Lonchura striata: one gene and its partners. The protein of the gene in region 1 interacts with the protein of each later gene in a pairwise test. Links are inferred from orthologs where the notes say so. Each region holds a gene or a part of one and is shown in the gene's direction. Other genes may lie near its edges.

What was found.
Region 2: the proteins of BHLHE40 (region 1) and NAA50 interact in binary tests that used the Homo sapiens proteins (3 or more experiments, as listed by UniProt). The two-hybrid records come from large-scale screens. The link is inferred for Lonchura striata from reciprocal best matches to the Homo sapiens genes BHLHE40 and NAA50.
Region 3: the proteins of BHLHE40 (region 1) and COX5B interact in binary tests that used the Homo sapiens proteins (3 or more experiments, as listed by UniProt). The two-hybrid records come from large-scale screens. The link is inferred for Lonchura striata from reciprocal best matches to the Homo sapiens genes BHLHE40 and COX5B.

The regions. Positions count from the first base shown.
Region 1 is NC_134614.1:23,078,975-23,088,660, forward strand, and holds the start of BHLHE40 (class E basic helix-loop-helix protein 40), read left to right. Parts: upstream 1-6,072; 5' UTR 6,073-6,110; coding exon 6,111-6,190; intron 6,191-6,285; coding exon 6,286-6,355; intron 6,356-6,735; coding exon 6,736-6,843; intron 6,844-7,329; coding exon 7,330-7,453; intron 7,454-8,484; coding exon 8,485-9,344; 3' UTR 9,345-9,686. UniProt on the Homo sapiens protein: Transcriptional repressor involved in the regulation of the circadian rhythm by negatively regulating the activity of the clock genes and clock-controlled genes.
Region 2 is NC_134604.1:28,276,668-28,286,637, reverse strand, and holds the start of NAA50 (N-alpha-acetyltransferase 50), read left to right. Parts: upstream 1-5,747; coding exon 5,748-5,919; intron 5,920-6,375; coding exon 6,376-6,495; intron 6,496-7,452; coding exon 7,453-7,519; intron 7,520-9,970. UniProt on the Homo sapiens protein: N-alpha-acetyltransferase that acetylates the N-terminus of proteins that retain their initiating methionine. Has a broad substrate specificity: able to acetylate the initiator methionine of most peptides, except for those with a proline in second position.
Region 3 is NC_134634.1:5,221,284-5,231,005, reverse strand, and holds COX5B (cytochrome c oxidase subunit 5B, mitochondrial), read left to right. Parts: upstream 1-5,809; 5' UTR 5,810-5,841; coding exon 5,842-5,935; intron 5,936-6,304; coding exon 6,305-6,378; intron 6,379-7,074; coding exon 7,075-7,174; intron 7,175-7,559; coding exon 7,560-7,672; 3' UTR 7,673-7,999; downstream 8,000-9,722. Other genes in the region: calsenilin, read right to left, coding at 1,532-1,579, 1,801-1,863, 1,963-2,067, 2,146-2,253, 2,499-2,569, 2,946-3,015, 3,099-3,223, 4,465-4,567; PURB (transcriptional regulator protein Pur-beta), read left to right, coding at 9,242-9,722. UniProt on the Homo sapiens protein: Component of the cytochrome c oxidase, the last enzyme in the mitochondrial electron transport chain which drives oxidative phosphorylation.

The DNA.
Region 1 (9,686 bases):
AGCCAGCTGAGGACATCCCGAGCCCTCCAAGCAGGTCCCGTGGGATCACACAAAGACCAGACTGAGCTAAGGGAGGCCACGTGCAGCACATGGGCTTGTTCTCCCTTGGCTCCAGCCACAGCAGCTGGTGGCATCTTGGCAAAGCCCATTGGGTTCCCGGTGTGCCCCTTCCCAGAATCACGTGGGATCACAGAATCAGCAAAGTTGATCTTCAAGATTATCCAGTCCCACCATCACCCCTAAACCGTGTCCCCCATGCAGACAGCTCTTGAACCCTTTCAGAGGTGGTGGCTCCACCACCTCGAGGCAGCACTGCAGCCCCCAGCTCCCCGCACTGGCCTGCCACAGCCTCACCTGTGCCCCACGCCCTGAGGAGCAGCCCCTGCTCACCCCTGTGCTGATGGCATTTGCAGCTGGAACCGACTCCCCCCAGCCTGGCCCTCGGCTGCCTCACAGCCCCATGGGCAGGGAGCTCACACACACTTGTCCCAAAGCCTTGAGCTGAGAGGCCAAGGTTTAACTCACTCATGTCCTCACATGAACTGCAGGAGGAACACACTCCTGGGCTCTTCTGCCTGACCCAGCTTTATTTTATTATTGTTTTTAGGGGTGGGTGTGTAATTTTTTGGACTCAATTAGCAAGTGGAGAATATTCTCTATGTTAATATTTGACTCAGCCATGATGCAGTTCGGCCCCGTAGCTGTTGTTACCTGCATCCCCCAAAAGAACAACTGGGAGCCTCAGTGGTGTTGATTCCTGCCGGGGTACGTGGGTGCCAGTGGAAAATAAATAACATGGTATTTTCCAAGTGGCAGATCTGAAGGCACCCTGCTTTCCTTGCTTTGCATACTCACAGAGCACCATCCTCTCTGCTTCCCAGATATGAAAGGCGAGGCAGAGACATCTGATGGGGCTCCAGCGCTGACTCACTGTTTGATGTGAGGCAGGAGGAGGGATGTGATCAGATCCCATTGTGCAGAGCATCCACCAGACAACGCCAGCAGCGGGAGGAGAAGCGATTCCTCATCCTCATCCTCCAAACCCTGCTGTCACACCTCGCTGTGCCCTGCCCCACCTGCAGCAGCCAGGATGTCACCTCTGAAATGGTTCCTGGGTGGTGGATCCCCATCCCTGGCACTGTCCAAGGCCAGGCTGGATGGGAGCAGCCCGGGCAGGTGGGAGGTGTCCCTGCCCACGGCAGGGGTGGAACTGGGTAACTTTAAGGTCCCTTCCAAGGCAGCCCGTTCCACGGGTCCCTGATTCCGTGATTAGGCTGCGTGCAGACGGAGCTGAGGCCGCTGCAGCCCCGGGGTGTGCCGGCTGTGCACGCCCGGGGTTCTTTCTCACGAGATGGTGCAAGAGCCGGGGGGGAACTGGTTAAACAGCGTGAGCTGCCGGGGCTTGGCAGGGCAGCGTGTCACCGGGGAGCCGGCGTGTTTCATTAAACACGCTATCAAAGTGGGCTAAAGTCTCTTATTAATGGCCACACATTTTGCCACTTCCAAATAGTTTCCACCTACATGTTCCTCCCACTGCCGCACTGGGTGCTGGCAAACATCGCAGCTCAAAGAGGGGAATGGCTTTCATTTGAATAGTCCTCGGGCGAGTTTCGCTGAGCGATGCCAGCGTCATTCCCGCAGCTCTCACGTGCCCGGCAGCGCTCCAGGGTCGTGCCGGAGGGAGGGCGCACAGACAACAGCTCCTGCTGTGTTTTCCCAGCGCTTTATCCAGGCAGAGCCCGTGGCAGCCTAAACCGGTGCAATTAAGCAGCGATGGATGCGCGTATTTGCAATGTTCAATCTCGGCTTCTGACTCGTGACGGTCCCACGGCAGCGAGCGCGGCCAGCTGCGCCATCGAGAGTCTCACACAGCTGAACCCAGCCGGCCTCACACCAAATCGGGCTTTTGCAACTCCCAGGAGGCTGAGGCGGAGCCCTGGTGGGTGTCAAGCTGCTCCTCACGCCCTGCGCTGAGGTCCCACGGCGTCCCTTGGGACCGGCCTTGGCTCAGGGGTGTGGGCTCTGCCACAGCCTCGGGCACGGGGCTGGGAAAGGAGAGGTGCGGCTCTCCTGGGAGCTGCTGCCTGGCCACATCCCCCCTGCCCGCACTCTGCAGGACCACTGCCCGCACATCCTCGGGGATGGAGGCGCTGCCCGTCCCCGCCGGAGCCTCCGCTCCGGCCCGGGAGCGCAGCGGAGCCGTCCCGTTTGCTGAGCACGGAGAGAGCCCCGCTCCAGCTCTGCCGGAGCCAGCCTGGCTCCCGCTGGGCTTTTCCTGCTGCGGAAAGCACGGGGTGTTCCTGCCGGGGCCGAGGATGCCGAGGCGGAGCGCATCCCGCTCCAGCCTCGGCGGGGCTGAGCTTTCACCTCCGGTGCCAGTAACCCGAGCCGGGATTGCTGGAAATGGGAGAGGGGAGAGTCAGCGATTTGATTACAGGCCACAGGCACATGCCTGGCCTTCATGGATATATTAAGTAAGAGACATTTTAAAACAAAACCACCCTCAGTAACCTTATCGTAAGCTCGAATCCACAACCCATCTGTTAACTCCCGGCGCTGCCCACATAGGCTTCCATCAGACAGCAGTGCCAGGGATTTTTGGAACGTTTTCCCCCAAATCCCTGCGGTCGGAAGGGGACAGTCCCGGGGAAGGGGCAGATCCTGAGTCTCGGATTCCCAGCCCACCCCCAAACCAGCCCCCAGACTCTCACCTTCTCGTGCCTCTGTAAATAGCTGCAAATCCCCTTGGACAGAGCTGTCGCGGTCCTGTGACTCCCAGCCCTGCTGGAGGAGTGCTCAGGAGAGCTGCTGCTCCACGGATGGCTTGAGGGAATTCAGCCTTTTTAAACATTTTGGTACTGCCTGAATCGTGTGGTGTAAAGGAGCCCTCCATGTAGAAATAATTCAGCAAACACAAGCGAGAAGGCGAATTGATGATTGCATCAGTCCTTGCTCATGAAAACTGATCCCCGGGAAAATGTAACTCAACTCTCGAGCAATCTCACTTGATGCCCAAGAATGCAATAACTTCATTTGGATCCTCCTTTTTAGGGGGACTCCTAAATCCTTGGCAACGTCCCTTAAGGTCATGAGCAAATCCTGATATGGAGAATTGTTTGGCAAGCACGAGAACAGTAAAAGGGCTAAATAATTGGGGATTACCTCTGACCCTGATTTGTGGCTCACCACCCACTGCAGGAATGTACCGAATATCTGAAGGAGCATGCAGGAGTCAGACAATCCACGGGCATGAAGCCGTCCACGTACTCTTGGAGCTTGAACTTCGAATGCAGAGCAGGTTGGCCCCAAACCTCATTTTTCATTAGCAAAAGGCTGTAGCAAGCTCTAATTATTTCTGTTGCCTTGGATGAAGGGTCAGTGATGGGACAGATGAAAAATTGCCTGTGTTTTTTTCACTCTTTGTTTGGAAAAGAACAGCTTTGGTCTTGGGGACACAGAGAGAGCAAACCCTCTGCTCCAGGGCTCGATACTGAGGCTGGTTTTGGTCCCCTGAGCTGCAGCAGGGGAGAAACCATCACCCTCATGTCCCCTGATGCTTCTTGCCGAGTTTGTTCAGTGCCTGCAGGAAAGAGCAGCTCTGCTGTGGGAGGTCACAGCTCTGCTGTGGTTCTGTGGCACTCCGAGCTCCGTGCTCAGTCCCAGCTCCTCTCCTGCACGGCGCCGGGGCTGTGGCACCACAGAGACCCTCAGGGTCCTGCCCATGGAGGGGGTTGGATTGAGAAGTCTTTAAGGTCCCTTCCAAGCCAAACCATTCTGGGATTCCATGATCTTGGCCATAATCACCGGGTTTGCAGGCTGGGATGTCAAACGCTGGGAGGACCATGTTGAGTGGGACAACCCAAACATCTGTTCTGTGGAAGCCCCACGTCACTGATCCAGTGCTGTGGTGTTCACACTGGAGGTGCTGCTGGGAGCTTGTAGGGGAGATTTGGGGGTTTTATAGACCTTGCATGTATGGCTAGCATCTTTCTGAGGCTCTGACTTCCCTTGGGATTCTTCCTGGTAACAACAGACACCTTTGGGCGGGGGTAAGCCTCAAACAGCCTGTCTCCATCACCCATCTAAAACCTCTCTGTGCTGTCATGTAGCACCTCCTGCCCTCGGATTCCTGCCAGGGTGGAGCAGCCAGAACTCTGCAGGCAGTAGCAGCAGCTCAGTGCTGGAGCTCTGCTGCTCCCTTATCTTGGTAAATGCACCTTTTATCAGCTAAGCCTGCCTCTACTTGCTCAGCACTCAGCAGGGAAGTGACCACGGCCCTCCAGCAGAGCTCTGCCTTGGCAGGTACACACAAACCATTGTCATCGCTCGGCGTTGTGCAACCGCTGGCGTCCAGGGGCTGGCACGGGCATGGCATGGCATGGCATGGAAGGGTCTGGGCTGGGGGGACCTTAAAGTTACCATCATCCACGCCCTGCCATGCACAGGGACACCTTCCACTAGACCAGGTTGCTCCATGCAACACTTCCAGGGATGGGGCAGCCACAGCTTCTCTGGGAACCTGTGCCAGCACATCCCCACCCTCACAGGGGAGAATTTCCTGCTGGTCAAAGAATCACAGAATGGTTTGGGTTGGAAGGGACGTAAAAGCCCACTTCGTTCCAGCCCCCTGCCATGGGCAGGGATGGATGCCTTCCACTGGAGCAAGTTGCTGCGAGCCCTGGATACCCCCAGCGATGGGGTCCTCCCACCCCAAAACTTCCCTGCAGCACTGCCACTTCCCCAGAGCCACATTTTAGCGACTCTCACTTTATTTCTTCCCCCACATTTCCAAACTTTCCGTGGCTGCAGCTTTCTCTGTGTCCGTGTTTTGTGTCTGTGTCTCTTTGGGGGTGTTTTGTTGTTTTTTTTTTTTTCCTTTATTTTTTTTTCTTTCTCCCCGATCTCGGGACACAACAGCGGTACAGCATGGTATGGCAGGGCACGGCATGGCACAGCATGGCACGGCATGGCATGGTATAGTATGGCACGGTATGGCAGTGTATGGCATGGTATGGCACAGCATGGTATGGCAGTGTATGGGATGGTATGGAGTGTATGGCATAGTATGGCACAGCATGGCATGGTATGGCATGGTATAGCACAGCATAGCATGGCACGGTATAGCACGGCATGGTATGGCATTGTATGGCACAGTATGGAGTGTATGGTATGGTGTGGTGTGGTGTGGTGTGGTATGGTATGGTATGGTATGGTATGGTATGGTATGGTATGGTATGGTATGGTATGACACGGTATGGCACAGCACATAAGGCAATATATGGCACGGTATGGCACAGCATGGCACGGTATAGCATGGTATAGCACACCGTAGTATGGCACGGTATAGCACGGCATGGTATGGCATTGTATGGCACAGTATGGAGTGTATGGTATGGTATGGTATGGTATGGTATGGTATGGTATGGTATGGTATGGTATGGTATGGTATGGTGTGGTATGGTGTGGTATGGTATGGTATGGTATGGTATGGTATGGTATGGTATGGTATGGTATGGTATGGTATGGTGTGGTATGGTGTGGTATGGTATGGTGTGGTATGGTATGGTATGGTATGGTATGGTATGGTATGTAGCATGGCATGGTATGGCACAGCATGGCACGGTATAGCACAGTACAGTATAGCAGTGTATGCCCTGGTATGGCACAGCAAGGCACGGCACGGCACGGCACGGCACGGCACGGCGCTGGCACAGCACGGTGCTGGCACAGCACAGTGCAGCGGTGGCACGGCATGGCACAGCACAGCACAGCACAGTGCAGCGGTGGCACTGCCCGGCACTGCCCGGCACAGCACGGCACAGCACAGCACGGCCCGGCCCGGCCCGGCCCCGCCGCGCCGCGCCGCACGTGCGGGGGCGCGGAGCCGGCCCGCCCGGCGCCACGTGAGGCTCATGTGACGGCGGCGGGGGCGCGGCCGCCAGACGTGCCGGCGGTCACAGGGCTCCGCGCGTCGCTCCCGTCCACCCACCCGCCCGCATTTAACCCGGCCCGCGGCCGCCCGCCGCTCCTCAGCCCGCGCGGCGCGGGCGCGGCATGAGCAGCGGCGGCGGCGCCCGCAGCCCCTGAGCCCGCTCCGCCGCGGCCCCGCCATGGAGCGCGTCCCCGGCGCGCAGCCCCCGCCCGGCTGCCTGGGCAAGCTGCCCGCCCTGGAGAGCGGAGACCTGCCCGGGTAAGCGGGGCTCGGGGGCTCGGGGGGCTCCGGGGGGAGCGGCGCCGCCGGCTCCGGCGCGGGGCTAACGCGCTGCTCTCCTTTCGCCCGTGCAGGCTGGACTTCGCGCACATGTACCAGGTGTACAAGCCCCGGAGGGGCTTAAAGAGGAGCGAGGACAACAAGGTGAATGGGGGGTGATGGGGTACAGTGAGGGGTGAGAAGGTAAATTGGGGATTAACGGGGTAAACTGGGGGTTCACGGGGTGAGTCGGCCGGTGACAGCGCTCCCGGGGCGGGGGCTCGGCCGCTCCCGGCGCGCTCGGGACGGGAGGAGCGGCGGCAGCGGGGCCGGGCCGGGCTGTCCCCCGCTGTCCCCCGCTGTCCCCCCGCTGTCCCCCGCTGTCCCCCCGCTGTCCCCCCGCTGTCCCCCGCTGTCCCCCCGCTGTCCCCCCGCTGTCCCCCCGCTGTCCCCCCGCTGTCCCCCGCTGTCCCCCGCTGTCCCCCCGCTGTCCCCCCGCTGTCCCCCCGCTGTCCCCCCGCTGACCCGCTGCCCCGGCCCCGCAGGAGACCTACAAGCTGCCGCACCGGCTGATCGAGAAGAAGAGGCGCGACAGGATCAACGAGTGCATCGCGCAGCTGAAGGACCTGCTGCCCGAGCACCTCAAGCTGACGGTAGGTGCGAGCGGAGGGACGGGGGGAGCTCCCAGCGCTCTGCTGCCGCTTCACCGCGGATTTGGGCTGGGTTTGGGGTTTTTTTTATTTTTTATTTTTTTTCCACCGTGGTGCCGCACGCCCGGGCAGGCTGTAAGCGCGTCCCAAACTTCCCCGGGAGCTGCGGCTGCCCGCCGGACCGCCCCCGACACCGGGCGAGAGCTGTCCCCGGCCGGGCCGCCCCGGTCACGCCAGGGGCGGCAGGACCCAGAAATAAAACGCTTCTCTCCGGGCTATGCGGCTGGTCCGAAAGTACCCACAGGGTTCCGTGAGAGCCTTTTCCGTAGCCGGCTTTTTAACTTATTTCCGTGCAATGCTGCCGGCGGTAGTCCCGCCTGCTCCGGGTCTCACCGTGCCCGTCCTCCCGCGGCTCCCGGGGAGGCACCGGCGGCTCCTGCGTGCCTGGCCGAGCCGGCGGCGGGTGCCAACCTGTCCCTGTGCTCCCAGACTCTAGGGCACCTGGAGAAGGCTGTGGTTCTGGAGCTCACCCTGAAGCACGTGAAGGCACTGACCAATCTCATCGAGCAGCAGCAGCAGAAGATCATCGCTTTGCAGAGCGGTTTGCAGGCGGGTGAGTGTCCGGCCGGCAGGGTGGGAGCCCGTGTGTGTGTGATGGGCTTTCCCTGGGGAGCCTGTGAAATGTGCCTGTGACACCCTGGTACCGAGAAGGGAGGGGACAGGAATTCTGGCTTTTCCTGCTGTCATTTTCTCAGGCTTTGCTCATGAGCTTTCACAAAAAATGATGCATTGCTCAAGATGGTCAATGCAGAGTGCCCTGGGAGTTGTTTGAAATTAAACTGGGTTTTAAGTAGTTTTAGTTGCAGCCCAGGTTTGCAGTGAGGTTCTCTCCAAAGCCATTCGATTCTTCCCATTTGTGCTTGTGACGCAGTCTGGTTTATTTGGTTGTTTTTCTCTGAAAATAGATATAAATCTGCTTTCTATACACACCTTTTTAAGTGTGTATAGAAAGCAAATAACCTTAAGCTTTTTAAGTTTCTTTATAACCGAGCTGGCCTGTGCTCTGCAGGCAGAGGGGACCCGGTGCTTCAGCTTATCAGCCTTAGATGCACTTCCTCCTGCTGTTTTCACATGTGGCTCTCACGTGAATCAGACACAGTAAACCCGAATTTTTGGGAGGTGCCGTCCCTGCCCCGGCAGCCACAGGGAGTGCAGTGGAGCAGTGGAGTCCCCTGGGGCTGGTGGAGCTGCTGGCAGGGCCGGGAGCTCCCTGCCCCGAGGTGCAGGGCGAGGTGCCCTGCCTTCCCCGGGGGTTTCCTGGAGAAGCCACAGCTTGACTCACTCCCCTCCCCGCACTCCAGTACCTGTTGAAGGTGGATTTTACAGTAAATAACAAAAAAAAAGCAGGCAGCACTTTACGTGAACTTTTTATGTAAAAGCGGACAGGTGGATGTTCCAATGGAATTGTCCATTTCTGCAGAAATCTGGGGATTTCTGTTCATAGACTCCAGCTTGGCCAGTGCTTTCCCCTCTGGCCGTGCTGTAACCCAAGTCCAGCGTCGCCTCCGGTCCGCCTCGGAGCTGGAAATGGAACTATTTAGCATGTTGTTAATTTTTAATTTCTTTCTGTTAATGTTTCCTTAGGTGACCTGTCATCGAGAAACCTTGATTCCAGCCAGGAAATGTTTCGATCCGGTTTCCAGATGTGTGCCAAGGAAATGCTGCAATACCTGGCAAAGCACGAGAACGGCAAGGAGCTGAAGTCGTCGCAGCTGGTCAGCCACCTGCACCGGATGGCCAGCGAGGTGCTGCAGGGCGGGGCCGCCCGCAAGGCCGGGGACATCCCTCCCAAAATGCTGGACTTGAAGGAGAAGCCGGCGCCGCTGGGCGCGGCGGGCGAGGGCCACGGGAAGAACTGCGTGCCCGTGATCCAGCGGACATTCGCTCACTCCAGCGGGGAGCAGAGCGGCAGCGACACGGACACGGACAGCGGGTACGGGGGCGAGCTGGAGAAAAGCGACTCCAAAGCGGAGCAGCCCTATTTCAAAAAGGATACCGACCTCAAGTACGCTGTCCAGGAGAGAATAAGCTCTATTAAGCAAGAGACTGAGGACCCGCCGGCCAAAAGGAGCAGGCTGGAGTTGCCGCAGGACGAGGGCCCTTTTGGCAGTGACATGATGGGCTCTTCCAGCAGCTTCCTGGGCCCCCACGCTCACCAGCCTCCCCTGTGCCTGCCTTTCTACCTGATCCCGCCGTCCGCCACCGCCTACCTGCCCATGCTGGAGAAGTGCTGGTACCCGGCCTCGGTCCCCGTGCTGTACCCCAGCCTGCCGGCCTCTGCCGCAGCTCTGACGGGCTTCATGAACCCCGACAAAATCTCCCCCCCTCTGCTGATGCCCCAGAGACTCCCTTCTCCTGTACCGGCCCATTCCCCCATCGACTCCTCGGCTCTGCTTCAAGCTTTGAAGCAGATTCCTCCTTTGAACTTGGAAACCAAAGACTGAGCGCAGTGTGACTGGTTTTTCTTTTTTTTTTTTTTTCTGTTTTTTTTTTAGTTTGAGAGACTGTTTCACTTTTATATATTGGCTGGACTGAGGTGTGGGGACAAGGTTCACTGTGCGTAGGAAGCTAAATCCCTTTTCTCTGACTTGTCAGGTAGCTTGGAGAGGGATGAAGGATGTGCCCAGGTTAGCGATTGACAACTGCTTCCAAAAGATTAAAGAAGGGTTTTGTGCTTGGCCCCTTCCCTTCTTCCCTCTCCACATCTACAGAACAACAGTTGACTCGGTCAGCTGCGAATCTATTGCAAAACTGTGAAGAAATATTCCATTGGGCAGACCTGGTTC
Region 2 (9,970 bases), on another chromosome or scaffold:
TTTAGAAATTCTGTTGGCTGGGCACAGTGATTTGTGTAGCTTATCATTTTCTTGGGAAAGTTTATTTTTCACTTGAAGATTTGAGACCTAGGTAGGACATGTTTCAGCTGGAAAAACTGTGAGGCTATTATAGCATAACTTTGCTTCTTGCATGTGAAGACTGGCCAGTCTTTTGTATGTGGTCAAGTTTTCTAGGTTGAAGCAGAGTAAATTATATTGAGATATAATGAAGAAACCTGGCTGTAATGTGCTTGTGTAGTTTTTTCCTTTTTTAATGCTAAAGGGAGAGGCAGCTAGGGTCTAATGTTTGTCTTGGGAAATAATGATGTATGAAACCTTTTCACAGTGAGATCCAGTGGTCTTGCAAGTCTTGAATGAAGTCTCCTGTTAATTCTGATTCTAAAATTGCTTTGTTTTCTTCTGTACATCATTGTGCTCTTCTGCAGGCCAAAACTGGGGGTAATGTCCAGAAGGATATCAGGTGTCATGCAATACATGTTTTCAGTAGAAAGCAGGACTAAAGAAGATCAGGGGTCTCAGAGCAAATTGTTAAGGCTTTTTGCATGCTAGGTTTGTACTTATCCTTCTGGTTTTCTGACAAGCAAAGCAGAGTAGATATGCAGCCCACAGATCTTTGAGGTAATTGAAAACATACTGGTCTGCCCACAAAAACTAGACTAACTTGTGTATGTGTAGCAAGACAGCTCATCCATTTAAAAAAGATCCTAAAAAAACAAACAAAAAAACCCATAAAAAATCCAACAACCCCAAAACACTAGAAGAGGCTCTTTTGGCCTTGGAGTAGAATCTAAGCAGAGCCACACTCTTGAGGTCTATAGCCTTCATAGTTCTGCTTTGGTTTTATTTTATGAGCGGATTATCCTGTCTAGACTCCTGCTTTGACTTGGATGCCAAAATAGAAGCAATAAAGCTAGCTGGCCGCTTAGCAGGTGACAAACTTTCTCTGAAGTCCCCTTAATTTGTTAGGGCCCATTTCTCAGTGCTGCCTCTCCTGACTTACTCCTCAGTAAGTTTTGCAAGTTTCAGATACAGCTCTGCTAAATTTAGCCTGCCAGATGCCTTCAATAAACCCAAGCTCAGCTATCAGTTACACAGAGATCTGTTTCAGGCAGGCACAGCCCTCTGGGGAGAGACTTGCACTATTTAAAGTTGAATGAGACTGAGATTCTTACAGCATTAAGAACGGTGAAATTCGCTCTTTTTCTCCCTGATGCTGTTTCTAAACTAGTGTTGGGCACTTGTTATTCCCAGAGAGTGAATTTACGTTTCCTGTTGAACTGTAGCTGGAAATTGGCTGCCTCTTGAGCTGTCATTCTATATAGCAGTTCTCTTTTGATATATGTTGAGAAGCAAAAGTCAGTCTTAACATAATTAGCCTATGTTACTTCCACCAGTATCAATGTAAGACATTGTAGGAAAAATAGACTGTTCAAATAATGGCACTGTAAGCTGCAGACAGAGCAATGCAACTGCAGCAGGACTAACTAGATTGCATTTGGTCCTACAAAATGTGTGAAGCTTTTTCTAGCCAGTGCCTGGAGGATCTTGGGACGCTGGTATGCAAGAGCAGGAGTGTTAATGCCAATGTTCTGGGCATGCATCCAGTTTCAGGAAGTGGTGCCTGTCACCTCACTGAAGTCACACTTCTGTTCAGATTTGGTGGATCACTCTTCACTTCCGCTCTTACATTGCTGGGCGGTGTTGCTGTGTACTTTTAACAGATAACAGCCTATGCACCAGCAACTGATTCCCTTTACTAGTGAATTCTCCAAGTGTTTTTTTTCCCAGTGACCAAGTCATGGAATGTAGCAGTTGTGAAAAATGCTGAATGTTTCTTGTGAAAATGTAGTCCTAGGATATGTCAGGAAAATGCTTCTGGTAGTGACATGAAAAACTTAGTGGCATTGGACAAGACAACAGTGTTTGGGGCTGCTGTAATTGGTTTTGGTTAGCCATGTTTAAGGAAAATCAACTTTAATCAGAAGGAATGTAAGGAAGAGCTAGTATGACAATAGTGGGAATTAAGAGCTAGTCTTACAGGAAAAGGCCAGGAGCTTGGCTTTAGTTAGAAGAAAGGTATGAAGAGATCATGATAACCCTCTGAAAAGGTCTGTGCAATGGTGCCCATGATCTCCAGGCAGCATAGAGGTACATTTGTGTACACTGGAATTGCTAACTGAGAATAATGGTAGCTTGGAAACAGCCTTACAATGGAAGACATTTAAGTAGCTTCAGAATGCTGGTGTTCCATTGAGGAGAGGGTATGGATTTGTTGAACACTGTAGAAGTAAAAGGCCTGACATGCTAAGCCAGGAGTCCCTCAATCCTCTGTGGTAAAAATAATTGCTTGGGATGGGGTGACTGGCTTGTCCCAGAAGCTTTGACATCTGAGATGGTACAATACAATAGTACTGTTGACTATTGCATCTTCCATGGAGTGCCATTTGAGCTGTGGGGTGCCAATAGTAAGTGCTGATCTTCTTAGGAATATTAGTGGCATCATAGAGTTCAATAATTTGTTATGGGAGGGCATGTCCCTTCTGGGCATTTTGGGTTCTTTATACATATTTATGTTCTCTCGTATGATAATTTGAGCTTGTAATTTAATTTTCTGTTTTGCCAACAGCAGAGGACAAGTGTTTCTGGTACACCTTCTGCTAAGCTGGAATGGACAGGGCTGGCCTAGTCAGACCTTAAGCTGACATAGTAAACTGAAGTTACTGATTTGGCTGGGACTTCACTTGAAGAAGCAGGACTAGCAGTAAACTGCTGTTAAAAGCAATCAACAACCCCCCCCAAGCTGCTTGCTTTACTTTGGTGAAAATAGGGGAGTGATAATTTTGAGTCCTTTGTTACAGGTGCTCTTGGCTATTTGGAGTAGTTTTTTCAGTCCTTAGGATCAAAGTGCAGGTTGTTCTATGAATGACAAAGTGTAACACAATATCTGTAGACTGTGTTCACAGATGTACTGGATAATCTACATCCCTGTGCTCCTCTTGCACTGTACTTCCAGTTTAAACTGAGGTGAACTGGCACTTCTGCTCAAGAACCGATTAGTTCTGCCTATGGCAACTTCTTTTCTCTTCTTCATTCTGGCAGAGGACTTGTGTGGTGAAGCCAGTCAGGGGACTGATATGGGTTAAAACTAAACTTTCCTTTTTTTGTCCAGGTTAGTTTTAATTAGTGTTAGTTCACCACATTGTTGCACAAATGTTTGTGCCAGCAAGAGGATGGAAATAAGTGGCTCAGGGACAGCAAGACCACTGCTTTTGGCAGCAGTGCCAGCTTTTCCATGATTTTACTCAAGGCCTCAGTGGCACTTTTGCCATGCTGTCCTCAGGCAAAACCATGAATTCTCATAATGTGGGTCTTCCTTTCCATGTTCTTACTTAATTTACGTATTAAATGGTTTTATGCATAATAGATGTGGTGCTGATTTAATCAGCTAGTGCCAAACATTAAAGTAATTAATGGTTTGAGTACAGGCTATTTAAACAGATATGTTTAAGGTATTGATTTATGCTTCCTGCAGTGTTTCTCAAACCTCTTTCATATTATTCTCCAGGGGAAGATACTGTCCCTGGTTTAATTCATGCAAGGACAAACCAGATAGTGACGGAGCATAGGAGACAAGCAGCAGGAGATGGCAGGAGGCAGCAGTGAATGTTGCAAGTGGTGAGAGATAGAGGGGGGAAAGTCCAGGGGCTTGAGGAAATGTGTCAGCAAATGCCTTTTAGCCAGCTACTAACAGAGCTCACCTCTGATGCCAGCCTCAGAGATGATGTCTTGGCTCAGCAGCTCCCAGCCTTAGACTCTGCTTCTGCATTTATTTATTTATTTGTTCTCTGTCTGAAACCTTATTGGTGAAGATCCATTTTCTGGCCATTTTCCCTTTCTTAGCCATCTTGTCCTGGCTGTCTGTGGTAATATATTTTTGTCCTGTTGCACTGTCGTAATAAATATTTCATAGTGACTATCTTCTAATGCCTGGTTTGTTTGATTAGTAACTAATTAATCTTTAAATAATATTAGAAAACACTGCCTGGTGATGGTCTGTGTCAGGGATTTTTGCTCCAAAGGAGACATGGTGTATAGCAACTGTTACGAGTTCATCATGCTAGCATTGCTGATCTACTGAAGCTTGGAACTACTGATACTTTTTTGTATCACCAAGGTTTATATTGTGTTATTCAGAGAAGTGGTCTAGGCTTTCATTAACTGAGTATGAATGTGAAGTTTGTCTCTTCCCTTGCTGACCTCCTGCGCTGCAGCTCATCTGACCTAGCTGGGCACTTGAGACCTGCTCCCTTTGATTCCTACTCTCATGCAGACTGCAGCAAAAGGGACTCTTCAGGCATCTTCTCCCTCCTAATACGAGATTACTGAGATGCTCTACTCCAGAAAAACTCTTTCATGGACACAAATATACCCAAGAACCCATATGCCACAGTTTTACTCCTGCCTTTTGTGAGGACAACGTAGCAGCACTGCTGGCTGGGATCAGAACTTGCCTTCTGTGAGCCTGAAGAAGCCCTGCTGTGCTAAGCTGAGCAGTTGTGCCACGCTGGGCATAAAACAAGTACTACAGTTTCTCCACCATCTCATAACTTTGATTGCATGTTTATTTACACTGGGAGTACTTCTGTAGTGAGAGAACATCATCTTTATTAGCTCGGGACTTATATTGTGTTGGAATATAATTCTCAAAGGGACTTGTGCAAATGGCCATACATGAAAGGAATCTTGAGAGCAAATGATATCTTTAATGCTGTTTGGGTAGAAAACAATCTGGTTGCCCATAATAATTCAGTAAAACAGGACTGATATGAACCAAGAACTGTGGGCTTTTCTAATTCCATGTGCACTGGCTTTCTACATATTTTGGTTATCATTTGGGAAAAGATTTTAATTATCTTGATCTTTTTATTTTTCATTCTTGTAGTCATTGTTGAAACTGCTTGCCCTTACCCAAGGGTAACTAATCTCTTTAATTTTATTTTTTTTTAAATGTTCTTCTGTGTGTATAGTATTTCTGTCAGGAAGTTAGTCTTAGAAAAGAGAGAAGCTTGGTCTGTTTCTTCTTAGTATAGTTCAGTGTATTTTAAGGTTATGGTTCTGCTTTCAGCAGGAAGAAAGTTTTCAGTGATGATCAAAGTAGATGCAGATATCACCTTGAGAAGGGCACACTTGCATATTAACACGCTTAATATATTTGTTGCATACAGTACTTTTGGTTTTTAGAGACAGATGTCTAGTAAGGACTTTATCTAAGTGTAGGCTTTATATTGAAAGGTGGTAAAATTGAGAATGTCTTTGAAGCATGGATAAGGACTTCATTTCCATGGTCTGTTCTAGCTTCTTGTTCCTCCCATATTTTCATTGGGGTTTTTAATTTTTTTTTCTTGTCATCTTGATGGTTAGAGGGGAAATGAGTGGGATAATGTTAAAGCTAATACTTCTGTAGAGATCCATGTTCTCCTGTCTCCCAGCCAGTAAAACCACAGATATACAATGGTACAATAGTGTTTAGTGTGGCCTGAGAAACTTCTGACTGTAGAGAACTGACTGAAACTAGATTAGGGACTTAAATCAGCCACCAGCATAAGACTTGATTGTATGGGTTGGATGTGGCAGTTCCAATATGTATTGAGCTGACTATTAGATGGGACAGTTCTCTAAGGATAAGCAAAATAATTGATCTTGGGTGTCCTTAAAAATGTTGCTGTATGTCAGATGTTAAGCATGTTTTGATTTGTTCCAGTAGCCGGATCGAGCTGGGAGATGTGACGCCACACAACATTAAGCAGCTGAAGAGGCTAAACCAGGTCATTTTTCCTGTCAGCTACAATGACAAATTCTACAAGGATGTACTGGAGGTTGGCGAACTTGCTAAACTAGGTACAAATGTTCTTGCCAGTAATTGTGGGCTGTGGTGGCAGAAGTGGTCACATTGCTATCCATAATGGTTTTGAATAGCTGCTCCTTCTATTTAGTTGTTTTACATCATGAAAAATAACTGTTTAAGAACCTCAAAGAAGCCACAGAGGGTCTGGATTCTAAATAGATTACGTCCCACTGGGAATAGCCATTTTTGCTGTTCCAGAAGAAAACAGTTGTGCATTGCCAACTTACCTTGTGATCTCATTGCTGGTTGGTGTGAACAGTGGTGAGCAACCACTGTGTCAAAGCAGCACTAGTTACTTCATTCCATGTGTGAATTCACAATGTATGTTATTTTATCTGGATGGGAGAATGAACGAGAGGGGAGGGAGGAGAATATAGGGTGTAAATGAAAGAGCTGTATGTGTAGTTTGAGACTTGTTACTGATAAACCTTTGTTTCCCTCTCTGGCAGCCTATTTCAATGATATTGCAGTGGGAGCAGTGTGCTGTAGGGTGGATCACTCCCAGAACCAGAAGAGACTGTACATCATGACACTTGGATGCCTGGCACCCTACCGAAGGCTAGGAATAGGTAAGGAGGGTCTTTTTTTTTTTTTTATCTGAGGCACCAAAGAAACCAGGTTGCTGTCTAGCTTTCTAAATGCTCTTTCAGATTTTTAACCAAGTTAGTGCACTCTAGACTATGGATTTTCTTTGGAAGGGACTTGGGGGAAAGAGTATGATTTATCATGTGCTCATTCTTCCCTACCTTTCAGAAATGAACCTTCTGTAGAAAATTTTACTTCAGGATTTCAGATTATTTTAATCATATTATCATACTGTTATGTAAATACTCTGCTTCTGTGGATGTGAAAATTGTTGCAGAGAGAGATGAAATAATTTGTCAGAGATATGTAGATAGTATGCAAGTCACACATAAGTAGAGCACCACATTCCTTCATTGGCTTCTCTCTTCACTCCTCTAAATGTAGGGGCTTTATATTTATTTTGTCTTTATCACTACTGATTATTGCTGCTCAGGGGTAGCACCTGCTTTTTGTCTATATTGCATTTAGTTCTTTGCTCCACATTGCAAAGCCATAGGACAGATTAATCATGACCTGCAGTAACCTGTTTACCTTGACAAACTGGATTGAAAAGATAATTTTGTTTTAAATTATTTTACTAGGTCTATAGTAGAAAAAGCTTACCAGTTCCCTCACTGCTTTATACAATATTTCGGCTGTATTTTGAGCTGAGTTTGAGACCTTGAAACTATTAAAATAGCATTAAAATAAGCTGATTTATAAGTATGTTTCTGGTCTGTGACTTTTATTTCTTCTTCAAAGAAACAATTAAGTAAGGTTTATGAGCAATCTGAGACAGAATGAAATACCTACACATCATGCTTTATTTGCCTTTCCTAGTTTTCACACTCTATCATTTTAGTCTATCTACAATTAAACTGCCTCTCCTCAAGGAAGCACCTAGCTAAGTACAGACTAAATTGTGTCCTAGTTTTCTTAAGTATCTTTTTATCTTTTGGCAGGAACTAAAATGTTGAATCATGTCTTAAACATCTGTGAAAAAGATGGCACTTTTGACAACATCTATCTGTAAGTGAATGAGTTACACTCATGCATTTTTTGAGAAATTATAAAGGTAGATATGGGAACAAAGTGATGGAGATTCAAGTGTGGGTTTAGTGTATATTTTAGTGGGGTCATAGAATATCTTGTTAGTACTAGCAGGAAAGACTGGGGTCATATTCTGGGCTTGTTGTGTAATGCTGAGAAAACCAAAAGCTGCTTGATTTAGAAAGGGTTCTGCAAATTTGCTGAATTTGAAAGCAATTTAGTTACAAAATTATGTTCTAGAACAAAATTACATGGTAAGACCAAAAATCTTTTTTAGAAAGGATTTTATTTTTATCATACAAGGTCATCTTCAGAATGGAAAATACTGCAAGTCTTGGATGCAGTTTTGATGCATTTGTTTTCTGTCTTTTATGACAGCACTCTGTGGGTTAGAATATTAGAGATGTTTGCAAGCACTGAAAGTTTACTACATTCAGTAATAAGGCCCTACTGCTATTCTCATACTTGCACACTGCTAGGTCAGCTATTTGTTCAGCAGCACAATAAACTAGATGAGTGCCCTGACCCAGCTGGGGAAACTATTTTCAGTTTTGTTTCTGGGTGTTATTTTTCATTCTAGTATGTTTTTGGGGTTTGGGAGTGGTTTTCTTGTGCTTTGTTTTGGTTATTTTTAAAATCAACTGCATGTCTGTGAAAGCACTTGGCATGATGCAGGCAAGAGAGCAAGCACTGGGGTAGAGGGCAGTGCCAGTATTCCCCTGGAAAGGGAGTCTGAAATCCATAAATGTCAAAATTATGCTTTTCCTTTGCTGCTGGTTTCACACTTGTGCTTTTTGCTGTGCATTGGTGTCTGTGTGGTTACCAAGTGAGCTGATGGCAGTTTTTGTCTTGATCCCTTCTCTGAGCCAGCTCCTTCTTGTCTGTCACTGCCTTGGCCATCACACCAGTGCCAGCATGGTGCACTGCTAGGGATAGGCCCACGGCAGGTACAGCTTGGATGGACATTCACTGCCGCAGAACTACATCCTGAATACTTGCCAGACCTGTGGAAGATGCTTTGTGAGGAGTGTTTCATACACTGGTATCACTGTAAATGGAGTGACTTTCTCCTCAAACTCTCCTGCTTCTGCCATGGAGGTGCAGACTCTTCCATGTCCTTTGCTGTTGTTGCTTTGTGCCATCTCTGTAAGAGGAGTGTGTTTTAAAGAGGTGTCTGAGTAAAGTTACTCTTGGCTTGTACTCCTTCCTGCCCTCCTGCCTCAGGATAAGTGTTAATTAACTCTCTTTGAGATGCCTGCATAATGGGACAGGGGCTTTCCTTTTTACTTTTGCATTTTACTGTGTGCACAGTGAAGGAACTGCTTGCTGATTCTAACCCTGCCCCAAATCCTTCATAATCCTTCTTTACGGTTCCTAGACCAAGGATTCTGGCATGACAATTAATAGCCCCCAAAATTGTGCTAAAGTTCTTTTAGTGGCCCATTGATTTTATTACTATGTCTATTACTTGTGCATCTTCTATTTGAACATATTAGGCAGTTTAGTACCAAATTTGATTTCACTGCCTAAATTTGTCATTACAATAAAGTTTAGCTTTTAGCTTTTTGCTGCTTATTTGGTTTAACACTAAGATCTTTTATTTTGTTCTGCTGTTGCTTCCACAGTTACTTTGGTTCTGTGGTTATGCAGTGTGTTGTCATGACAAAGTGATTCATGAAGTTGTGAAGTGTCTGCTGAACTTTGGGAGTGTCTAATGAATGCCTTTTGTTAATCCAAACATTTTTATTTCTTTTTTCTCTTTCTTATTTTTGGTTTGTTTTTTTTTTTTTTTTTTTAATAAGTGAAATTTGTGCAGATAAATATCCTAGTCACATAGGATAAAGAACTGACAGCTGTTTGTTTTGGAGACCTTGAGATGTGCTAGCAAAATTTGTAAAACTCCAGGGGAAGTAAATATGAGGGAAATGGACTTTGCAAACCATAGGACTGTTTTGTATTACAGCTTTTTGTAGGAGACAGAAGTGGTTGGAGTAGAGCAAGGTGTTAAAATCATATCAAACACCATTGCCAGTTGTATGTTACAGTGTGTCGGGATCATCGCTGAGACAACTCTTCTGGTCATCTGCAAAGTGTTACTACAGGAGGTTAAAGTTGTCTTTACAGTGAAACTCTGTTACATATTTCCACTAAATATCTGCCATACTGCTTTATCAATATGAAGAAAAATTGAAATTACAGAGGTAGTAATGCTTCAGAGTCTTTCTGTTATCTTGTGTTCCTTGAAAGTTTTACTGAGGGGAAACATTTACTTCTATTGACAGCCATGGGCCATCCAGGAGCTGAGTGTTAGCCCAGAATTGGGAAACCAACATTTCCAGTCTTAGAGTTACACCACTGTTCCTTCTCTATCTAGAGAGCTGATTTTCTTGTCTTTGACATTTCTGAGTATGGAGGCAGTGTACTGACCCC
Region 3 (9,722 bases), on another chromosome or scaffold:
CCCTATCCCGTTCATTCCCTGGTCCCGGTCATTCCCCGTTCCCGGTCACTCCCGGGTCCCGGTCATTCCCCTATCCCGTTCATTCCCTGGTCCCGGTCATTCCCCGTTCCCGGTCACTCCCCGGTCCCGGTCATTCCCCTATCCCGTTCATTCCCCTATCCCGGTAATTCCCCGTTCCCGGTCACTCCCCGGTCCCGGCCCCCCCCATCCCGGGGGTCTCTCACGGCTGCTGCTGCCCCGCTCCGCCAGGGGGCGCTGCGGGCCGGTACCGCCCGTCACGTGTCACGTCACGTGCCGCCCCCGCCCGCCTGAAGGTCGCGGCACCGAGACCCCGCCCCCTTCGGGCTGCCCAATGGGATGGCGCGGGGGGCGGGGCCAAATTTTCAATGAGAGCCAATGAGAGGCGAGGGCTGAGGGGCGGGGCCCCGGGACCGGGAACCGAACTGGGACCGGGAACGGGGATGGGAACGGGAACCGGGACTGGAACCGGGACCGGGAACCGAACTGGGACCGGGAACGGGGATGGGAACGGGAACCGGGACTGGAACCGGGACCGGGAACCGAACTGGAACCGGGGACGGGGATGGGAACGGGACTGCGAATGGGAACGGGACCAGGAACGGGAACGGGACCGGGAACCGGGACTGGGAACGGGACCAGGACTGGAACCGGGACCGGGAACCGAACTGGGACCGGGAATGGGACCGGGAACGGGAACCGAACTGGGACCGGGAACGGGGATGGGAACGGGACTGCGAATGGGAACGGGACCAGGAACGGGAACGGGAACCGGGACTGGGAACGGGACCAGGACTGGAACCGGGACCGGGAACCGAACTGGGACCGGGAACGGGACCGGGAACCGAACTGGGACCGGGAACGGGGATGGGAACGGGACTGCGAATGGGAACGGGACCAGGAACGGGAACGGGACCGGGAACCGGGACTGGGAACGGGACCAGGACTGGAACCGGGACCGGGAACCGAACTGGGACCGGGAATGGGACCGGGAACGGGAACCGAACTGGGACTGGGAGCAGGAGAGGGAGCGGGACCGGGACTGAGCCACGGGCAGGGACAGGGAGCGGGACACCGCGCACCCCTCTTGACTCCGTTTCACCCCAAATCGTCCCCATTCGGTTTATTTATAAAATCCCCTCCCCACGTTGCTGCGGGCGGGGCTGAGCTTTCCGTTCCCTGCGGGGGCTCCGTTCCACGGCTGCCACAGGGAGACCCCACACCCGGGGGTCCCCACGTCCCGGGGGTCCCCGCCCCGCGGTTTGTGCCGTGCCAGGTCCCCGCACCGCCGGGGGGGGTCGGTGTCGAGGGGAGGCTCAGCCCCCCCAAAATGGGTCTGTCTGGCAGGGGGCAGCTCCGTGCCCGGGGGGCTCTGGTGGCAACGTCGTCCTTGTCCTGGTCCTTGTCCTGGTCCTTGTCCTGTCCCATCTCCGGGAGCCACACGCTGGATTTCTCCTGCCTTTGAACTTCTTGTTTGCCTGGAACAGTAGGAAAGCTCCGGGGGGAGCAGGGTCTAGAGCACGTTGTGGAAGATCTGCATGGAGCTCATGATGTCCTTGTCCTGGGGAGGAGAGACCAGAGACCCCGCGTCCCCCTCCTCTTGTCACCCTTTGCCATCTCCCCTCCCATCCCCAGCACCCCTCAAATCCTTCTGCCAGCCCCAGCTCCCGTGCCTCTCCTCCTGGCCCTCCTCTGCCATCCCTCCCAGCGTCCTTTCGGGACAGAACACGGAGGAGGAGGAGGAGGAGGAGGAGGAGGATGAAGCCCCCCAGAGCCCCTCACCTCCTGGCACGTGGCCAGGAACTCCTCGAAGGTCACCACGCCGTCCCTGTTCCTGTCCATCTTCTGCAAGGGAGCAGCCAGGGCTCAGCGGGGCGCTCCTGGCCGCAGGGTGGCCCGGAGGTGGCCCGGAGGTGGCCCGGAGGTGGCCGGGGACAGTCTCACCTGGAAGAAGAGCTCCACGTGCTGGGCCGGCGCGCTGGCACCCAGCGCGGGCTCGGTGCAGCGGCCCATCATGGCATAGATGGACTTCATGATCTCCAGCATGTCCTGCGGGACACAGGGCGCTGGCAGGTCCCCGCCCGGCTGTCCCCGCCCTGCCAGCCCCCCAGTGTCCCCCAGTGTCACCTCCTTGCTGATGTGGCCGTCCTTGTTCACGTCGTAGAGGTCAAACGTCCACTTCAGCTTCTGCTGCTCCGTCCCCCGCAGCAGCACCGAGAGCCCCACGGCGAAATCCTGGCGGAGAGACCGTGGAGGGAGCGGGACCGTCCCCCGGCCTCCCTCCCTCCCTCCCTGCCTCCGTCCCTCCCTCCCTCTCTCCCGCGATCGATCCCGGCCGCCCCAGGGATTTCATCCCCATTGATCCCGGTATTTTTACCCCGCACCCGGCCACGGCCTGGGAGGGGAGAGGAGGAGGAGGAGGAGGGGAGGATGTGATGAATCACGCTGCTGGCGCGGCCATTCCCGCCAGGAATTCCCACCTGGAAGCACAGAGCCCCGTTGCGGTCCGCGTCGAAGGCGTCGAACAAGAAGTGGGCGTAGGAGCTGGCGTCTGCGGGCAGGGACGGTGACCGACCCCCGGCACCGGGCGGGGACGGTGACCGACCCCCGGCACCGGGCGGGGACGGTGACCCCGGCACCGGGCGGGGACGGTGACCCCGGCACCGGGCGGGGACGGTGACCGAGCCCCGGCACCGGGCGGGTACGGTGACCGACCCCCGGCACCGGGCGGGGACGGTGACCGACCCCCGGTACCGGGCGGGGACGGTGACCGAGCCCCGGCACCGGGTGGGGACGGTGACCGAGCCCCGGCACCGGGTGGGGACGGTGACCGACCCCCGGCACCGGGTGGGGACGGTGACCGAGCCCCGGCACCGGGCCGGGCACTGCCCGGGCAGCCCCCCGGGGCGCGGGGACCCCCGACTCACCGCCTTGAGGGAAGAACCGCGAGTAGATGAGCGTGAAGGTTTCCTCATCCACGAGGCCGCTGGGACACTCCTGGCGGGGGGAGCGGCGCCGGTGACCCCGAGGATCGCGGGGAGCCCGGATTTGGGGGGCCGGGCCCGGATCCCCGCGCTCACGTTCTTGAAGCCGCGGTAGAGGGACTGGAGCTCGGCCTTGCTGAACTTGGTGCGGGCCAGCAGCCGCTCCAGCCCCTCGGGCTGGTGCCGGGCGCTCGGGAGCTCCACGTCGGCATCGCCGCTGTCTGCGGGGGACCCCGGGCAAAGACCCCCTTAGAGACCCCAAAAACCCATCCCGGGAAAAGAGACCCCCTTAGAGACCCCCCAAACCCATCCTGGGCAAAGACCCCCTTAGAGACCCCCCAAACCCGCCCCGGGCAAACAGACCCCCTTAGAGACCCCCCAAACCCATCCCGGGCAAAGAGACCCCCTTAGAGACCCCCCAAACCCATCCTGGGCAAAGACCCCCTTAGAGACCCCCCAAACCCATCCCGGGCAAAGAGATCCCCTTAGAGACCCCCCAAACCCGCCCCGGGCAAAGACCCCCTTAGAGACCCCCCAAACCCGCCCCGGGCAAAGACCCCCTTAGAGACCCCCCAAACCCATCCCGGGCAAAGACCCCCTTAGAGACCCCAAAAACCCATCCCGGGCAAAGACTCCCCCCTAGGAACACCCCGACACCCCAAAGCCGCCCCCAGCGCCCCACCCCCGCGGCCCCGGGACCCCCGGGACCCCGAACGCGCGGCTGCCGTGCCCGGGGCTTTTCCCGCATTCCCGAGGCACCGAACGTCCCCAGCCGCCTCTCGGCCGCCGCCGCTGCCGCCCGGCCCGGCGGAAGGTAATTAATAAATGATGCTTCATGAATAATTTGAGCCCGGGAAGCCCCTCGGGGCCGCTGGGCGCAGGGGGTGTCAGCACTTTTGGGACTGGGGCCCGGAACGCTCCCGGCGCTGTCGGAGGGGGGAATCCCCAGCTCGGGGTGTGAGGAGTCTCGGGGGGCCCGGGGGGCAGTGGGGGTCCCTGGTGTCAATCCCAGCGGCTTTGGGGGTCACTGGGGGTCCCGTTACCTGCTCCGGGGGGTTAACGGGGCGCAGGGGGGGCTCCGGGGTGGGGGTTCCCATCCTGGATATTTGGGATGGGGGTCCCATCCCCGGCTGCTTTGGGGTGGTCTCTGGGGTGGGGGTCCCCATCCCCAGATATTTGGGGTGGAGGTCCCCATGTCCAGGTGTTTGGGGTGGGGTCTCCATCCTCTGGATATTTGGGGTGGGGTCTCCATCCCCGGCTGTTTTGGGGTGGGGGTCCCCACGGCCGGAGCACGGCTGGGCCGGGGGGGGCTGGGGGCCCTTCCCGTGCCCCCCAAATCCTCCGCCTTCCCCCAGACCCTCCCGGGGGGATCCCCGGTCCTGCCGCCCGGGGACGGCCGCGGCGGGGGCGATCACTCCATTAACTCACTAATTGGCGTTAATTGAGGCCGGGGGGGGGGTACCTTCCACGGAGATGGGCTCCAGGATGCCGAACTGCTTCAGCACGGCGATGAAGAGGAGGATGACCACGGCCACGGCGCACAGCTCCATGCCCTGGATGCCCATGGCCGCTTTTTCTGGGGGGTCCGGGGGTCCCCCCAAACCTGCGGGGCGCTGCCGGTGCTGCGGGAGCGCGGGCGGCTGCTGCCCGTGCCCGCGTCCCGTCCTGCCGCCTCCTCCTCCTCCTCCTCCTCCCTTGGCACTCGCCCACCCCCGGCCCCCCCGGGCGGCTTCCCGAGGTTTTATTTCCACTTCCAAAGAAAGTTTGGGGGTTTGGGGTTCGTTTTTTTCGGGGGGCGCTCCCCCGCTGCCCGCAGCACCCCCGGGCGCTGGGGGCGCAGCCGGGAGGGGCGAACCCGGGCCGGCCTCAGAATTGGGGGGGAAAAGGTTGTTTGGCGTGTCCCCCCCAGCCCACCCAGCCCGCCCCGCCCCGGTGGGATCGATGGGATCGATGGCGATGAGTAAGCAGCGACGGCAGGGGAAACTGAGGCACGGAGGGCGGAGGGGCTGTCCCCGCTCTCCCGGGGCTGTCCCCGGACCGCTGTGCGTGTCCCCTCGGCCTGGGGACACCGGCCCTGTCCCCGGTGTGTCCCTGTCCCCGGTGTGTCCCTGTCCCCGGTGTGTCCCTGTCCCCCCGGTGTGTCCCTGTCCCCCCGGTGTGTCCCTGTCCCCGGTGTGTCCCTGTCCCCGGTGTGTCCCTGTCCCCCCGGTGTGTCCCGGTCCCCCCGGTGTGTCCCCATCCCCGGTGTGTCCCCCCGGTGTGTCCCTGTCCCCCCGGTATCCCTGTCCCCCTGGAGCTGTCCCTGTCCCCCGGTGTGTCCCTGTCCCCCCGGTGTGTCCCTGTCCCCGGTGTGTCCCTGTCGCCCCGTGTGTCTCTATCCCCGGTGTGTCCCTGTCCCCGGTGTGTCCCCCCGGTGTGTCCCTGTCGCCCCGTGTGTCTCTATCCCCGGTGTGTCCCTGTCCCCGGTGTGTCCCTGTCCCCGGTGTGTCCCCCCGGTGTGTCCCTGTCCCACCGGTGTGTCCCCCCGGTGTGTCCCCCGGTGTGTCCCTGTCCCCCGGTGTGTCCCCGGTGTGTCCCCCCGGTGTGTCCCGGTGCCCCCGGCTCCGATCTCCCACCCAAAATCTCAGCACCCCCCCCGTGACCCCCGGGGCCGCTCTGGGGGCGGGGCCACCACGGGGCGTGGTCACGGAGGGCGTGGCCTCACACGGGCCGGGGCCGGGGGCGGGGCTCCGCGGCTGTGGGCGGGGCCGGGCCGCCGCCCCGCTCCTTCCCGCGCCCGCCGCCCCGCCCGCCGCACTTCCGCTTCCGCCGGTGCCGGAAGTGCCGCGGTGTCGCCGCCATGGCCTCAAGGTTACTGCGGGTGAGCGCGGCCCTGCGGCTGCTGCCCGCGGCGTCCGCCCGCGCCGCGCCCGCCCGCAGCCTCGGCGTGCCCGGTGAGCGGGGAGCGGGCGGAGCGGGGGGAGCGGGGGGAACGGGGGGAACGGGGATGGAGCGGGGGGAGCGGGGGGAACGGGGGGAGCGGGGGGAACGGGGATGGAGCGGGCGGGGCGGGGGGAACGGGCGGAGCGGGGGGAACGGGGATGGAGCGGGCGGGGCGGGGGGAACGGGCGGAGCGGGGGGAACGGGGATGGAGCGGGGGGAACGGGGATGGAGCGGGGGGAACGGGGATGGAGCGGGGATGGAGCGGGGGGAACGGGGGGAACGGGGATGGAGCGGGGGAAGCGGGGATGGAGCGGGAGGAACGGGGATGGAGCGGAGGGCGCGGGCGCGGTGTGTGCGCCCGGTGTGACCGCGCCCCGCAGGGAACCTGGCCAGCGATGAGGAGCAGGCGACCGGCATGGAGCGGAAGGTGATGGAGGCCATGAACAAGGGTCTGGTGAGTGCCGGGGGTTGCCGGGGGCTCCGGGGCGGTTCCGGGGTTCGGCCGGCCCCGGAGGGGCGCAGAGCGGCGGAGGGGAGCAGGGAGCTCCCCTTGGGGGAGCCGCGGGGCGTTCCGGGCTTGTTTCGGGGTGCCCGTGGTGGGGAGGGGGTCAGGGGGAGAAGATCTGGGGGTCCCGGGGTGGGGGGTGGCGGGGTCACCTGGAGGGGTGTGCCAGCTCTGGGGGGCTGGGGAGTGTGGCCACAGGGGGCTGGGGGTGCTCGGGTTGGGGTCTGGGGGCTGGGTTTGGAGTCTGGTGGTGCTGGGTTTGAGGGCTGGGGGCTCTGGTGGTGCTGGGTTTGAGGGCTGGGGGCTCTGGTGGTGCTCGGTTTGGGGTCCTGGAGGTGCTTGGTTTGGGGGCTGGGGGCTCTGGTGGTGCTGGGTTTGGGGTCAGGGGGTGCTGGGTTTGGGGTCAGGGGGTGCTGCATTTGGGCTCTGGGGGTGCTGGGTTTGGGCTCTGGGGGTGCTGGGTTTGGGGTCAGGGGGTGCTGGGTTTGAGGGCTGGGGGCTCTGGTGGTGCTGGGTTTGGGCTCTGGGGGTGCTGGGTTTGGGGTCAGGGGGCTGGGTTTGGGGTCTGGGGGCTGGGTTTGGGCTCTGGGGGTGCTGGGTTTAGGGTCAGGGGGTGCTCAGCGCCCGGGGTGCCCCTGCCCGCAGGACCCCTACAGCATGTTCCGGCCCAAGCGCTACGCGGGCACCAGGGAGGACCCGAACCTCGTGCCCTCCATCACCAACAGGCGCATCGTGGGCTGCGTCTGTGAGTGCCCCCGGCCCCGCGTCCGTGTGTCTGTCCTGTCTGTGGGTCCATCCCTATGGCCTTGTGTCCATCCATCCCCATGTCCATCTGTCCGTCCTGTGTCCCTGTGCCCATCCCTGTGGCCGTCTGTCCGTCCCCGTGTGTGCATGCGTCTGTCCTTCTCCTGCCGGTGTGCACGGCCCGTCTGTCTGTGTCTCTGTCCTTTTCCTGTCCGTGCGTCTCTCCTCCCACCCGTGCCTGTCCAGGCTGTCCGCGTGTCCGTTCCTGTCCCTCGTCCGTTTGTCCATCCCCTTCTGTGCTTGTCCCGTCCCTCTAAACCTGTCCCCATCCCACCCTGTCCCTGTGTCCCCTGTCCGTGTGTCCCACGCCGTCCCTGTGTCCCCAGGTGAGGAGGACAACAGCTACGTGGTTTGGTTCTGGCTGCACAAGGGCGAGGCCCAGCGCTGCCCCTCCTGTGGCGCCCACTACAAACTGATCCCGCACGAGCTGCCCCACTGAGGGACCCCGCCCCAAAAACCGATCCCCATGAGGGACCCCGCCCCACAAACGGATCCCCACGAGGGACCCCGCCCCAAAAACGGATCCCCACGAGGGACCCCGCCCCACAAACGGATCCCCACGAGGGACCCCGCCCCACAAACAGATCCCCACGAGGGACCCCGCCCCACAAACAGATCCCCACGAGGGACCCCGCCCCAAAAACCGATCCCCATGAGGGACCCCGCCCCAAAAACCGATCCCCACGAGGGACCCCCCCCACCATCTGATCCCTGCTGAGGGGCAGGGGTCCCCTCCCGGGGTCCCCCTATAAAGAGTTTGTGTGGAGAGCTGCCTCTGTCTGTGCTGGGGGATGGGGCCGTGGTGGTGTCACCGTGACCAGGGGGGGACGTGGGGGTCTGGGGGGACACCACGGCCTGGGAGTGGGATTTGGGGTGGGGGGACCCCGTCTGACTGTGCCTCTGCTCTGGGGCTGGGTGGGAAAAGCCCCCAGTGGGTCCCGATGCTGCTTTGTCCCCTTTGGGTGTCCCCAGCCCCAAAAGGAGCCCCTGGGCACTGAGGGGGTGGGTTGGTCCCAGGAGGTCCCAAGTGGATACAGGAGGTGCCCAAAGGCTCCCAAGAGGTCCCAAATGGCTACAGGAGATCCCAAGTGGCCTCAGGAATTCCCTGGAGGCTCCGAGGAGATCCCCAGAGGTTCTCAGGAGTTCCCCAGATGCTCCCAGGAGATCCCCAGAGGTTCTCAGGAGTTCCCCAGATGCTCCCAGGAGATCCCCAGAGGTTCTCAGGTGATCCCAGGTGGCCTCAGGAGATCCCCAGAGGTTCTCAGGTGATCCCAGGTGGCCTCAGGAGATCCCCAGAGGTTCTCAGGTGATCCCAGGTGGCCTCAGGAGATCCCCAGAGGTTCTCAGGTGATCCCAGGTGGCCTCAGGAGATCCCCAGAGGTTCTCAGGTGTCCTTTCAGGGTGGTCCCCCCCGGGCTCCCTCGGGCGCTCTCCCGGTTCTGCCCCGTGGGCCCGCTGGGGGCTCGGGGCTGACGTCGCCTGTCCGACCTGCGGCCCCAGCGCTGCGGGCCAGCTGTGACGTCATGGATGACGTCACGCTGCATGGCCATGACGTCATGCATCCCCGGCTGGAGGGGGCGGAGCCTGAGCGCCGCTGGCCAATGGGGGCGGCGGGAGGCTGTGACTGACAGCAGCGAAGGGCGGGAATTGCGCGCAGTGAAGGGGCCCCGGGCCGCATTGGCCAATCGGAGCCAGCCGTGGCCGTGACTGACAGCCGAGCTCTGCGCCCAATGGAGGGGAGGGGGCTGCGGGGCGGGGCCCGGGCCCGGAGACCAATGGGAGGCGTGGCGATGATGACCGACAGCTGGGGGCGGGACTCGGAGGGACGGGATTGGAGGGGAGGGGGCTGCGGGGCGGGGCCAGCGCTGGGTGGGCGGAGCTTCGCCGGGGGCGCGCGGGGACGCGGCGGGCGGGGCCGCCGGCGCACGTGACGGCGGCGGTGCGGCGGTGACGTCAGCGGTGTCGCAGCGGGGCCGGAAGCGGGCGGCGCGCGGGGCGGGCGGACAAGATGGCGGACGGGGACAGCGGCAGCGAGCGCGGCGGCGGCGGCGGCGGCGGGTTCGGGACCGCCCGCGGCGGGGCGGGGGGGGCCGGCCCGGCCGCGGGGCCCGGCGGCGGCGGCGCGGCCGGCCCCGAGCAGGAGACGCAGGAGCTGGCGTCCAAGCGGCTGGACATCCAGAACAAGCGCTTCTACCTGGACGTGAAGCAGAACGCCAAGGGCCGCTTCCTCAAGATCGCCGAGGTGGGCGCGGGCGGCTCCAAGAGCCGCCTGACGCTCTCCATGGCCGTGGCCGCCGAGTTCCGCGACTACCTGGGCGACTTCATCGAGCACTACGCGCAGCTGGGCCCGTCCAGCCCCGAGCAGCTGGCGCAGGCCGCGGGGCCGCCGGGCGAGGACGGCGCCGGGCCCCGCCGCGCCCTCAAGAGCGAGTTCCTGGTGCGGGAGAACCGCAAGTACTACCTGGACCTGAAGGAGAACCAGCGCGGGC